3 linked regions of the Macaca fascicularis genome follow. The protein of the gene in region 3 binds, or shares a complex with, the protein of the main gene of each other region. Links are inferred from orthologs where the notes say so. Each region holds a gene or a part of one and is shown on either strand. Other genes may lie near its edges.

Evidence for each region.
Region 1: EXOSC2 (region 3) and EXOSC5 share a complex: the UniProt entries of both Homo sapiens proteins name them as parts of the RNA exosome core complex. The link is inferred for Macaca fascicularis from reciprocal best matches to the Homo sapiens genes EXOSC2 and EXOSC5.
Region 2: EXOSC2 (region 3) and EXOSC6 share a complex: the UniProt entries of both Homo sapiens proteins name them as parts of the RNA exosome core complex. The link is inferred for Macaca fascicularis from reciprocal best matches to the Homo sapiens genes EXOSC2 and EXOSC6.

Annotation. Positions count from the first base shown.
Region 1 is NC_088393.1:48,537,931-48,542,216, forward strand, and holds the start of EXOSC5 (exosome complex component RRP46), read right to left. Parts: upstream 2,854-4,286; 5' UTR 2,789-2,853; coding exon 2,641-2,788; intron 1-2,640. Other genes in the region: BCKDHA (2-oxoisovalerate dehydrogenase subunit alpha, mitochondrial), read left to right, coding at 3,286-3,393. UniProt on the Homo sapiens protein: Non-catalytic component of the RNA exosome complex which has 3'->5' exoribonuclease activity and participates in a multitude of cellular RNA processing and degradation events.
Region 2 is NC_088394.1:70,113,757-70,117,998, forward strand, and holds EXOSC6 (exosome complex component MTR3), read left to right. Parts: upstream 1-1,389; 5' UTR 1,390-1,429; coding exon 1,430-2,248; 3' UTR 2,249-3,699; downstream 3,700-4,242. Other genes in the region: AARS1 (alanine--tRNA ligase, cytoplasmic), read left to right, coding at 1-70, 413-598. UniProt on the Homo sapiens protein: Non-catalytic component of the RNA exosome complex which has 3'->5' exoribonuclease activity and participates in a multitude of cellular RNA processing and degradation events.
Region 3 is NC_088389.1:13,185,534-13,189,621, forward strand, and holds the start of EXOSC2 (exosome complex component RRP4), read right to left. Parts: upstream 2,842-4,088; 5' UTR 2,821-2,841; coding exon 2,699-2,820; intron 534-2,698; coding exon 432-533; exon of another isoform or gene 419-431; intron 1-418. UniProt on the Homo sapiens protein: Non-catalytic component of the RNA exosome complex which has 3'->5' exoribonuclease activity and participates in a multitude of cellular RNA processing and degradation events.

The DNA of each region.
Region 1 (4,286 bases), on a different chromosome or scaffold from region 3:
GTCTCTATTTTCTTTTTTGAGACAAAGTTTCCCTCTGTCACCCAGGAGGCTGGAGTGCAGTTGTGCAATCTCAGCTCACTGCAACCTCCGCCTCCCAGGCTCAAGTGATTCTCGTGCCTCAGCCTCCAGAGTAGCTGAGATTATAGGTGCGTGCCACCTCGTCCGACTAATTTTTGTATTTTTAGTAGAGACGGGTTTTCACCATGTTGGCTAGGCTGGTCTCAGAACTCCTGACCTCGACTGGGCGAGGTGGCTCACGCCTGTAATCCCAGCAATTTGGGAGGCCGAGGCGGGTGGATCACGAGGTCAGGAGTTCAAGATCAGTCTGGCCAACATGGTGAAACCCCGTCTCTACTAAAAACTACAAAAATTAGCTGGGCGTGGGAGCACACGCCTGTGGTCCTGGCTACTCGGGAGGCTGAGGCAGAAGAATCGCTGGAACCTGGGAGGTGGAGGTTGCAGTGAGCCACGATCGCTTCACTGCACTCTAGCCTGGGTGACAGGGCGAGACTCTGTGTCAAAAAAAAAAAAAGAATTACTGACCTCAGGTGATCTACCCTCATCGGCCTCCCAAGGTGCTTGGATTACCGGTGTGAGCAACCCATGTGAGCAACTGCGCCCGGCCCCTTCTTAATTCTTAGGTTCGAAGAAACTTGAGGTATCTCAATTCAGCATAAGTGCTAAGCCTGAGGGAGGGTCCGGGAAGGTCCCTGGTTAAGGCGGTATTTCCTGGGATGCCCAATTTGCCCTTACACGGAAGGTGTGCTTAGTTCCAGGAAAAACTGCCCTGAGGACTGGAGAAACCAAAATAGAACTCGCCTCTGGCTCCAGATGAACTGCCTGTGTTTCACCTGAGCACAAGAGTCCCTCCCCTCTCACCTTCTTCAAGACGTGGCTCCAGCAATTCTCTCCCCTGTTGACCCCACAACCATCTTCAATTCCTGCCCCACTTATCTGATCCTCTTACAGCAAAACTCCTGAACAGCTGTCTATTCTTCCTTTCCTGTGACCCCACCACTCCACTGCGGCAGCTCAACATCGTCACCACTGACCTCCAAATGATCAACCCTCCATTGACCCGGCTGTCAGTAAGGCCGAAACAGCTGTCAGCCCTCACATCTCAGACACGCTCTTCTCTTGGCCCCAGGTCACCACCCTCTCCCGGTTTCCCCCTAAGTCTCTGGGCGTTCCTTCTGAGTCTCCTTTAGCTTGCTTGTCACAAGTCCCTGACTGCTCAAGTTGGAAGGCCTAGGGCTTGGTCCTGGGACCTCTTTTCCATCTACACTGACTTCGTTCAGTCAATAGGCTGAAATACCATATATACAGCCAGAGAGTTCCAAATTGCCTATGTCCAGCTTGGGTCTCTCTCCTGATTTCCAGACTTGTACAGATCTGGGCAGAAACCTTAGTTATGCCTGACTCTTTTTCCTCGCACTCAAACCAAACTATAGGTAAGTTTTGTCCGTTTTACTTTCAAACTACATCCAGAATCTCATCACCTCCACTACTCCTGTTCTGGCTGGAGCCACCATCACCTCCCTGTTTTCCCCCATACTCCCCACAATCAACACAGCAGCCAGATTTTGTTAAAATGTATTGGGGCTGGGCGTGGTGGCTGGTACCTATATGAGCACTTTGGGAGGAGGACTGCTTGAGTCCAGGAGTTCAAGACCAACCTGGGCAACATCGTGAGACCCTGTCTCAAAATTTTTTTTTTTTTTTTTGAGACAGAATCTTGTTTTGTCGTGCACACTGGAGTACAATGGCACAATCTTGGCTCACTGCAACTTCTGCCTCCTGGGTTCAAGAGATTCTCCTGCCTCAGCCTCCCCAGTAGCTGGGATTACAGGCGCCCACCACCATGCCTGGCTAATTTTTGTACTTTTAGTAGAGTCGGGGTTTCGCCATGTTGGCCAGGCTGGTCTCGAACTCCTGACCTCAGGTGATCCACCCGCCTTGGCCTCCCAAAGTGTGGGGATTACAGGCGTGAGCCACTGTGCCCAGCCTCCTGTCTCAAACGTTAAAGAGAAATATTCTTGGAGTTAATCTGGTTCTGAGAGTTATTTAGCTAGGGGAAGGGGATATTTGCCCTATAGGTAAGACTTGCCCTAATCTTAGGGATATTTACTCCTGTGGAGAGATGCAGTGAGGTAGCGGTGGGGATGTATTTTTCAACCCAGGGCAGTGACATTATCTTCAATTTGAGGAGTATTTACGTGGGTGAAAGATCCGCCACAGTCCAGAGTATGCAAATTGACAGGTTTGCGTCAGTCCGGGATGCAAGGACCTAGCGGGCGTGTGTGTGGGGCGGGCGGGGGCGGGGGTGAGGAGGAGGAACCTAGTTAAGGGCGATATTTACCCTGGTGAGGTGATTTTCCCTATTCTGAAATATCAATTCTTGCGGGGACGGTCTGCCCCGCCTGTCATTCTCAGACATATTTACAAAGATGGAGCTATCTTCTCCTTTCTAGTCGTGAGGGAGAGATGTATGTATCCCTGCGTATGTAGTAGTATTCAATCGGACAAGAAATCATGTATCAACGCAGGAGTGACATTTACCAGCTGGTATCATGGGGAGATGGGCACTCCGTTGCACGGTACATGGTAGTCCCTCTCCAAAAGACCTGGGTAAGTTCTTACCTTGCAGGAAGGAAGCAGAGCCATCTGGCCGCGACAGCAGGTTCTGTTCGCAGGCAAAGTGCCGGAGGCTGCAGCCGGGACCCCGAGGGCTGCACCCTGTTCCAATTTCAGCGCGGATTTTGGCGTCAGTATGCATCTCCTCCTCCATCGCGCCGACCCCACGTGCGGCTGCGATTATCACTTCCGCCCGGCAGCGCGCGCTGCGAACACTCTGCGTAACCATTGCGCACGCGCTGGGCTCGGCCGTCAGTCCTGGCGTCCGCACGTGGCTTAGCGTTTACCAACAATCTGGCTCCGCCCAGTCCCACCTCCTAACTCTGGCAACGCCATTGGACAGTTGAGAACAGGAGGCAGGCCTTGGCAGTGACCTGTTTTACTCTGGGCCCCCGGGCCCTAAATCCCTGAGGCCGTGGTCAGGTTGCCCTCTTCTTTGCCTGTTACAGGAGTAACTACAATGAGGCGACTGGGGAAAATTTTGGGTAGATAGGTTTTCTTCTCCAAATCTCTGTGCATTCTATCTACAACAGAATGGGAAGAAGGTGATTTTCTTGTCAGATGGTGCTGGAGTTTGTGTCAGGCACATAAAGGGGCAGCCCCGAATCTAGCCTACGTGAGTGCCCTACCGCTGAGTGGTTGCTAGCCAAGATGGCGGTAGCGATCGCTGCAGCGAGGGTCTGGCGGCCAAACCGAGGCCTGAGCCAGGCTGCCCTCTTGCTGCTGTGGCGGCCTGGGGCTCGGGGATTGGCTAGATCTGTGAGTACCTGGGCCCCAGGGGGTTTTCCCAAAGGGGATTAGGGATGTAAAGGCTATCTTCAGAGTGTGGGGTCCCTGAAGGATATGAAGGAAGGGCTGTCACAGAAGGGAAAAAGTGGGAGACCCCTTGGAGAAGACACCGAAGGGAAGATCTGCCACTTCCTTAGAAGAAAAGAACTTCCACTTCTTCAGGAGAGGACAAAACCCGTTTGCAACTTCTTTGTGGGCCCTGAGGGAGGGAGACGACTTGAAGAGAGGGATGGGAGTTCCTTATTTATTTATTTAGTTAGTTTTTGAGGCGGAGTCTGGAGTGCAGTGGCCGGATCTCAGCTCACTGCAAGCTCTGCCTCCCGGATTCACGCCGTTCTCCTGCCTCAGCCTCCCGAGTAGCTGGGACTACAGGCGCCCGCCGCCACCCCCGGCTAATTTTTTTTTTTTTTTTTGCATTTTTAGTAGAGACGGGGTTTCACTGTGTTAGCCAGGATGGTCTCGATCTCCTGACCTCGTGATCCGCCCACCTCGGCCTCCCAAAGTGCTGGAATTACAGGCGTGAGCCAGCGCGCCCGGCCGGGGGTTCCTTATTAACTGCCACTCGTATTCAGGGGAGGTTCCTTGGAGGGACAGGGGAAGACCGCGAGACCTTTTCCCTCAGGCTTTGGAGAATGAAACTGACTTTATAAAGGAGAGACTTTCTTCTGGGCAAAGATCCCTCTTCAAGAAGAAGAAAGAAGAGAGCAAGTCCCCTTATCGCAGGCTGCATAGGGCCTTGTATTTCTTTGCTCCTTTGCCACAATTCTGATTTTAAAATGAATTGTGTAAAAATTTTGTTTGGTTCCTGTGTCTCCTGATCGAATATCAAGACAGGGAACTCGTGTGTTCTGGACACTGTACAG
Region 2 (4,242 bases), on a different chromosome or scaffold from region 3:
GACGTCTGCCATGCTCTTCACGGTGGACAACGAGGCTGGCAAGATCACTTGCCTGTGTCAAGTCCCTCAGGTCAGAACCACCTTGCACCAGTGGGAAGTGTTGGGTCTTAAGCTTGTTTGCTGAGGCCTGTGTGTGTACAACCTGCATTTAAAAGAGCCTGTCTCCTGCCTGCCTGTTGGTCACCTTTGCCAGTACCCCTTACCTAGGCCTCCTCATTGGTTGCATCTGTCTGGTTGATACTTGGCTTTGCCACTCTGTCCTGTCCTGGCAGGGGCCATGACTGCCCCCTGCACTAGCCGTAAAGTCTGTCTCGGCCTCCAGCAGTATCACCCAGGGCAAAGGAGTGGGTGATGGCTCCTCCCTCAATCCCATTTTCTGTCCTGACTTCCCCCTTCCCTTTCTTTCTTCTAGAATGCAGCCAATCGGGGCTTAAAAGCCAGCGAGTGGGTACAGCAGGTGTCAGGCCTGATGGACGGTAAAGGTGGGGGCAAGGATGTGTCTGCACAGGCCACAGGCAAAAACATTGGCTGCCTGCAGGAGGCGCTGCAGCTGGCCACTTCCTTCGCCCAGCTGCGCCTCGGGGATGTAAAGAACTGAGCGGGGGAGGAGGTGGCTTCTACTGGCTCCATCTGTCCAGCCGGGAGCTCTTCATCTGCTACAAGAACATTTGAATCCTGGGACCTTTTGAGAGCCCCTCCTACCCCGGCCGTACCTGGAACACCCTCACGAGCAGTCCTGTGACTCAGCGCCCCTTATACTTCTGCCCTGAGCCCTCCACATCAGTGCCATCTGTCGAGAACCACTACCCCCGCATTGCTGTTGATCACCACACTCGCATCTGTAGATAACAGCTCTCCAGCCTGAGCTTTCCGTGTCAGCAAGGACGAATCGTTTTTTGCTGCAGAGAATAAAAGGACCACGTGCAATACTTAATGCTATATGATCTCTATCCCTCTTCCCAGGTGGAGCTCGCTGTTTTGACAGCCCTTGGCCCCTGCTGTCTGTAGAATAAATGCTGTGGCTTCTACTGGCTGCTGTAGTGTTCACCTAGTCCAGCCCCAGAACCCTAAATTTTGGGAAAAGCCCCTGGGGTTGCCTCAAACGTTTGTGGAGGTTGAGGCCAAATAGGTAGGGTGACATGGAGCAAGGCGTTCATAATTCAGTAGATGGGGTTAGTGGAAGCAGAGAAGCCTTGGAGCTGCTCTCCCGCTGCCTTCCAGCAGGAGGGATGGATCAGGCAGCCCTGCACAAGTGGGACCAGGGCGCCAGGGACGCCGGCCGTTCTCCCTCCGAGCCTCCAGCAGGCGCTGTAGCGTCGCCCGTCACTCTCCCGACAGCCCTCACGCAGGCGCGCGTCTTTAAGCAACGGAAGAACCAGTGGGTGCGGCAGTGCGTTGGGCGGAAGCGGCTCTCAAGCCAGGAGCCGCCATGCCCGGGGACCACCGCCGCATCCGCGGCCCTGAAGAGTCGCAGCCGCCGCAGCTGTACGCGGCCGACGAGGAGGAGGCGCCCGCCGCCCGCGACCCAACGCGACTGCGGCCCGTGTACGCGCGCGCCGGGCTGCTGAGCCAGGCCAAAGGCTCGGCCTACCTGGAGGCGGGAGGCACAAAGGTGCTGTGTGCAGTGTCGGGCCCGCGACAGGCCGAGGGAGGCGAGCGCGGCGGCGGCCCGGCCGGATCTGGCGGCGAAGCCCCGGCCGCGCTGCGCGGTCGCCTGCTGTGCGACTTCCGCCGCGCGCCCTTCGCGGGCCGCCGGCGCCGCGCTCCCCCGGGCGGCGGCGAGGAGCGTGAGCTGGCGCTGGCGCTGCAGGAGGCACTGGAGCCGGCCGTGCGCCTGGGCCGCTACCCGCGCGCGCAGCTCGAGGTGTCGGCGTTGCTGCTGGAGGACGGCGGCTCGGCCCTGGCCGCCGCGCTCACCGCCGCCGCGCTCGCCCTGGCCGACGCGGGCGTTGAGATGTACGATCTGGTGGTGGGCTGTGGCCTGAGCCTCGCGCCGGGGCCCGCGCCCACTTGGCTGCTGGACCCCACGCGACTAGAGGAAGAGCGCGCCGCCGCGGGCCTCACCGTGGCGCTCATGCCTGTGCTGAATCAGGTGGCCGGGCTGCTGGGCAGCGGCGAGGGCGGCCTGATCGAGAGCTGGGCGGAGGCCGTACGCCTGGGGCTCGAGGGCTGCCAGCGCCTCTACCCCGTGCTGCAGCAGAGCCTGGTGCGGGCGGCGCGCCGCAGGGGCGCCGCCGCCCAGCCCTGAACTAGAAGCCTGAGCAACGACGGACGCAAGCCGAGGACCGTGCTGCCGCCGTCCCTGAAAAGACCCGCGCCGTCGGCCTCCAGCCTGCGTCGAGGTAAGCAGCCGGAGCCCTGGAGAGCACCTGGGTAGGCTCTAGCAGAGCCAAGGCGCCGGACAGCTGTGGTGTTGGAAAGGGTTTTTACAAACCTCGTTAAAGGAACTTTACTTGAGCCGGCTCTTAGCTTCGACCCAGTTGAGGAAACCTGTGAGCGCATCCTGACTCCCAAGTTGGAAACTTTAGCTGGACTTACCTGGAAGCTGGTACCTAGAGCTGCTGTCATTCAGGCCAGCCAGTGACCCCCTCCGATATAACTGGGCGACTTTTCAGAGGATGGACAAGACGACTGTGCCTTCTGTGTCTGAGCCAAAAGAAAGACCCTTTTATATTTGAAAAACGTCTTATGGTGTGGTTCTTCTTGGTCCGGGATTTAAGAGAGCAAGGCTCTTTTGTTCTTGCATCCCAGGTGTCAAGGGTCGCGGCGGCATTGCCTTAAACGGGTTCTGTTCCTTAGGCCCACGTGAACAGGAGACGGGCTGAAAAGAGCTGCAGAGCCTGAGGGGAGCGCTGTGATTTGGAGAAGCAGCTGCCCCCACATGAACCAGAGTTAGGGGAACTGCTGAGATACGACGAGAGTAGGGAGAGTTGGCCGGGCCGGCGGCTCACACCTGTAATCCCAGCACTTTGGGAGGCCAAGGCAGGGAGATCACCTGAGGTCGGAAGTTCGAGATCAGCCTGACCAACATGGAGAAACCCCGTCTCTACTAAAAATACAAAATTAGCCAGCACTAATAATGGTGGCATATGCCTGTAATCTTAGCTACTCGGGAGGCTGAGGCAGGAGAATCGCTTGAACCCGGGAGGTGGAGGTTGCGGTGAGTGGAGATCGCACCATTGCACTCCAGCCTGGGCAACAAGAGCAAGACTCCGTCTGAGGAAAAAAAGTACGGCCCCAGAAGTGCGCTGAGTGCACCTCGTGCCCCAACCTGGCTTGGTGCTGGGTAGCTGAAAAGGGTTTTGCTCTGCGTAGAAGCCATCTGTCCTTGGCCATGTGCAGAATGGCACAACCCGAGCCTCCACTGCTGGTGAGAAGTGGCACCCTGGTCCTACAAGGAAGACCCTGAGCAGCACCGCAGAGGGCAGGTGCACTGCTAGGAAGGCCAGGTACAACCTGACTGACTCACCACGAGGTGGGGTCTTTCCTGTGTCGCTACCAGCTCTGCTGGTTTGGGCTCAAGACTGCATGGTAGGAAGCTAGGTGACTGCCATTTGGAAGGCGGCCTGGTCCCCTCTCTGCACTCAGCTTCTCTAGGAAGGGCCGACCTGGGTCAGCCCAAGGACCAGAATGAGTTTCTGGGGCCACACCCAGAACCCCTGACCAGGAAAAATACAAATTTTATTTTTTCCCTTCTGACATAACGTGTCTTTCTAGAGCAGGTCTGAAATAGTATCACACCAGTGGGGAGAGGACATAATGTAATTCTGAAGGGTGACTTCCTAGAGTAGATGGGGAGTCTGGAGCCCAAAGAGGGCTGTGTGGGGTACACACTGAGAACATTCCAGCAGTTTCAGGGAGATTGGAAACTCAGGGAGATCTGCTGGCTATCTGTTGACTGGCGGTGTATCGGGAGGGGAGTGAAGATCAGCTGTGTCTGCATTCAGACAAGGCTGAGGGTGCCCTCTGAGGGGAGGGGAGGGGAGGGGAGGGGTGGGGTGGGGTGGGGGGTGGGGGTGGGGGTGGGGGTGGGGTGGGGATGGGCTGTCATCTGCCCCTTGCAAGAGAGCCTCAGCTTCATGAGGATGGCGACCTGGTGCAGTCCCAGGCCACCTCCTAACCGTGTCAGTCCCAGGACCATCATCTCGAAATGCAACCTCTAAAGAAGCTAAACCCACCACTACAGGTTGGCCCTCTGCTTGTCTGGCAAGCCCTGTGTTCACTTCCATTGCCCCAGCTCCA
Region 3 (4,088 bases):
GTATAAAAAAATTAGCCAGGCGTGGTGGCGAGTGCCTGTAATCCCAGCTACTTGGGAGGCTGAGGCAGGAGAATCGTTTGAACCCGGGAGGCAGAGGTTGCAGCGTGCAGACTGTGCCACTGTACTCCAGCCTGGGCAACAGAGCGAGACTCCGTCTCAAAAAAAAAAAAGAAAATCCTGTGAAGTAGGCCATGCTATTATACTCACTTTGCAGAGGAGGTAACCAAGGCTTGGAGTGGTGACATAACATGGGAAAACCTCTGAAGCCTACACTGATCTGCACCACCCCACCTACAGTCATGGTCAAAACCTCAGACTTACAGCATGACAGGGCAGGCAGGGGTGGGGTAGGGGATATGGAGGGGGCAGAAAAAGCCTGGTTGTACAACCTGGATGCCGCAAGAAAGGGAATACACACCTTTTGTTCTCACCTGGTTTTCAAAGCTTTCACACAGATCAACTTGTTTACTCTCTCCACAGAGCCAGCAACAGATGCAATGAGCTTCTCTTCTCCCATATACGTTCCGTGGCCCCTGATGCAAGGCAAAGGTACAAAGAAAGGATACCAGGGTAACTCGAGGTGACCTCTCTCCTTTCAAGAACAATGTGTTCCTCAAAGCTAACAAGCTCCCCCTGCAAAGCCTGGCTTCTGTGCTGGCTGCTTCCTCTGCCTTCAGTGCTCCTTCTCCAGACTGGCTACTTGGAAATCACCCCTCTCACTCAGGTCTGCTCAGGTGTCACTTTCTCCAGCAGGCCTACCTTGACTGTGCCATTGAAAACACAGCCCACCCCGTTGCCACCACTCCCCCACATTCCATTGACCCTGCTCCACGTTTTTCCCCATTGCATTATTGCCTAACATTCTCCGTTATAACTCCACCAGGACAGAGATTTTTCACTCTGCCGTTATATCCCAACTGCACAAAATATAAATATATGTTGAAAGCATTAACGAAAGAATGAATCTTAAGATTTCCTGGCCAGGTGCGGTGGTTCACGCCTATAATCCCAGCACTCTGGGAGGCCGAGGTGGGTGGATCACGAGGTCAAGTGTTTGAGACCAGCCTGACCAACATGGTGAAACCCCGTCTCTACTAAAAATACAAAAATTAGCCGGGCATAGTGGCGTGCGCTTGGAATCCCAGCTACTTAGGAGGGTGAGGCAGGAGAATTGCTTGAATCCCAGAGGCGGAGGTTGCAGTGAGCTGAGACTGTGCCACGGCACTCCAGCCTGGGCGACAGAGTGAGACTCTGTCTCATTAAAAAAAAAAAAAAAAAAAATTTCCTAGGGGCTGGGCATGCCTGTACTCCCAGCACTTTGGGAGGCCAAGGTGGGCAGATCACACTTGAGGTCAAGGGTTCGAGATCAGCCTGGCCAACATCGTGAAACCTCATCTCTACTAAAAATACAAAAATTGGCTGGGCATGGTGGCAGGTGCCTGTAATCCCAGCTACTCAGGAGGCTGAGACAGGAGAATTGCTTGAACCCAGGAGGCAGAGGTTGCAGTGAGCCGAGATCCCACCACTGCTCTCCAGCCTAGGCGACAGAGAGACTCCGTCTCAAAAATGAAAAAAAAATATTTCCTAGGATCCACTAGCCTTAAACTAACAGGTTAAAGGGCAATGCTATGAATGCTGTGCCCCTTGTATAGATACATGTACAGAAAAAAAAGGTTGAAACGCTAGTGTTATCTATGATGATGATATAATGGCTGGTTTTACTTCTTTTCTTACATAATTATCTCATTTAATCCTCATTACCGTATCATACTGTTATTATCACTATCTTACAGATGAGGAAACTGACCGTGGAGAGGCAATGCCGCTAATAAGATGTGATGGTAGCTGGACTGGAACCCCAACTGTCTGACTCAAGAGCCTGCCCTCGGCCGGGCGCGGTGGCTCACGCCTGTAATCCCAGCACTTTGGGAGGCTGAGGAGGGTGGATCACCTGAGGTCGGGAGTTCAAGACCAGCCTGACCAACATGGAGAAACCCCGTCTCTACTAAAAATACAAAAATTAGCCAGGCATGGTGGCACATGCCTGTAATCCCAGCTACTCGAGAGGCTGAGGCAGGAGAATCGCTTGAACCTGGGAGGCGGAGGTTGCAGTGAGCTGAGATCGCGCCATTGCACTCCAGCCTGGGCAAAAAGAGTGAAACTCTGTCTCAAAAAAAAAAAAAAAAAAAAAGAGCCTGCCCTCTTAACTACAACACACTGTACTGCACCCCTTGGATTCAAAATGTGTATAAATGGGTGCAGGCAGCACAATGTAACTGTTTGCCCTAAGCTCGAACAATTACGGATTCTAAACTGAAGAGGAGGCGGCCAAGAACACCCACCGTCCCCTCAGAGAGCTGAAAACTGGAAAGAGAGCCTGCGCCTAAACCTCCCCGGTTTTCCAGGTCTCCTACAAGGAAGGCTCCAAGATTTGGACTTCAGGCAGAAGACCCAAAAGTCACAGCCACCAGAGGTCAGGAGTGGAGGGTTTCAGGGAGCTGAGACAAACGCAGAAGGGGACACACAAGACGCAGGGGGCAAGAAGCGCGAGGCTCGGAAGCGAGGCGAGTAGGATGCTCAGACCAAGTGCCTGGGGTCCCGCGGGGAGTTAGACACACCGGGATACGAGGCCTGGACCACGTGCAGAGAGCCCTGAAGCCGCTCTATGAAGCCTCGACTCCCCCAAGTCCCCACGTACCGCATGAATCCCGTGTCCGTAGTGATTGTGTCCCCCGGCACCACTAGATGTTTCTTAGTGTCGCGACCCAGTCTCTCGCTAAGAGGCTTGCGAGCCGCTGGAAGCCTCATCTCCATCGCCATCTTGGCGCCAATGAGTTGCGCAGGCGCAGCTCAGCCGGGAGCCGCGATATCCGACTCCGCAACTCCTGGCCGCGTTCGGAGGGGCGGGGAAGGGCGGGGACTCAGAGCAGCTGCCAATGAGAACTCACGGTCTGGAGGCCATGTTTACAATTGGCAACACTAAGGCGAACCCGAAGGGAAGGGAGCCGAGCTGCCATGTTTACTATTGGCAAGGGAGCACCCGTGGAATAATACAATCTCACGTTGTGTGGGGTGTGACTTTTTACCAAAACTGTCTTGTACTCACCATCCCATTTATTGTTTACAAGAGTTAGCGATAATTGAGAAACGGACCTCTGAGTTTCTGTCCGATTCTAAGCTGCTGAAATCCGGTATTTTCTAAGAGAGAGCTCAGGAGGATGGAGAGATGGGATCTACAGAAAACACTATTTGAACAGAGAGAAGAGCCCCCGTCCACACGGTTCCTAGTAGCCCCAGTATTCTACATTGCTGCCGCCCCGTGGGTGCTGGCTCAGCATCATCATCTATACCTCCAAACCGGGCTCCAGATACTTCTCACTTGGTTCTGTTCTTTCATAAAGACTTCTTTAAGCAAGCTAATTTACTCCAATATTTCTTTTGGAAACAAGTTAAAAATCGTCTAACAGTATAGGTCAAACCTTGCAAGCCAGGTATATTTGGTAGGGAAGGGAAGTGCACACATAATACGAAGATGGCTTGCATTTAGTTACACAGCGAGTTGAGTGCTCTGTGTGTGCCAGGCGCTGTTCTAAGGATTCAGCAGGGAACAGACATGTCTCTGTGGGTTTTGCTGCGGCTCCGTTTTAATAGGAGCGTACCCCTCGCCCCTTCTCCCGTTCCCCACTACCGTCTCCCTCTCCTTGCCCTACATTCACAACAAACTAATTGGGAATGGTAATTCCCCATGCACAGGGACTCTAAAGAGGATTAAATGAAATCATTTACATCAACTGTGGTCAGAAAAGCAGGTAAACCAAGTCTGCCTCCTGAAGAAAGATCCATCGAACCAATTGTTTTATAAATCTCCAAAGCGACAGCATTTCTTCCACTTAAGCAAGGCGCACGACCACACTTAAGAAAGTCAGCCCTGCCAGGCAGTCCGTGACGTGAATGCTAGTGCCCCAAGGCCCTAGGTAAGTGGGCGGCCAGACCCTCGCCCTCCGCCGTGCTTGGAGGAAGGCGCTAGAGCCCAGCCCCTTGGTCCAGTACTGCCGGGGCCATAAGAGGGCGATGGTGTCCTTTGAGCC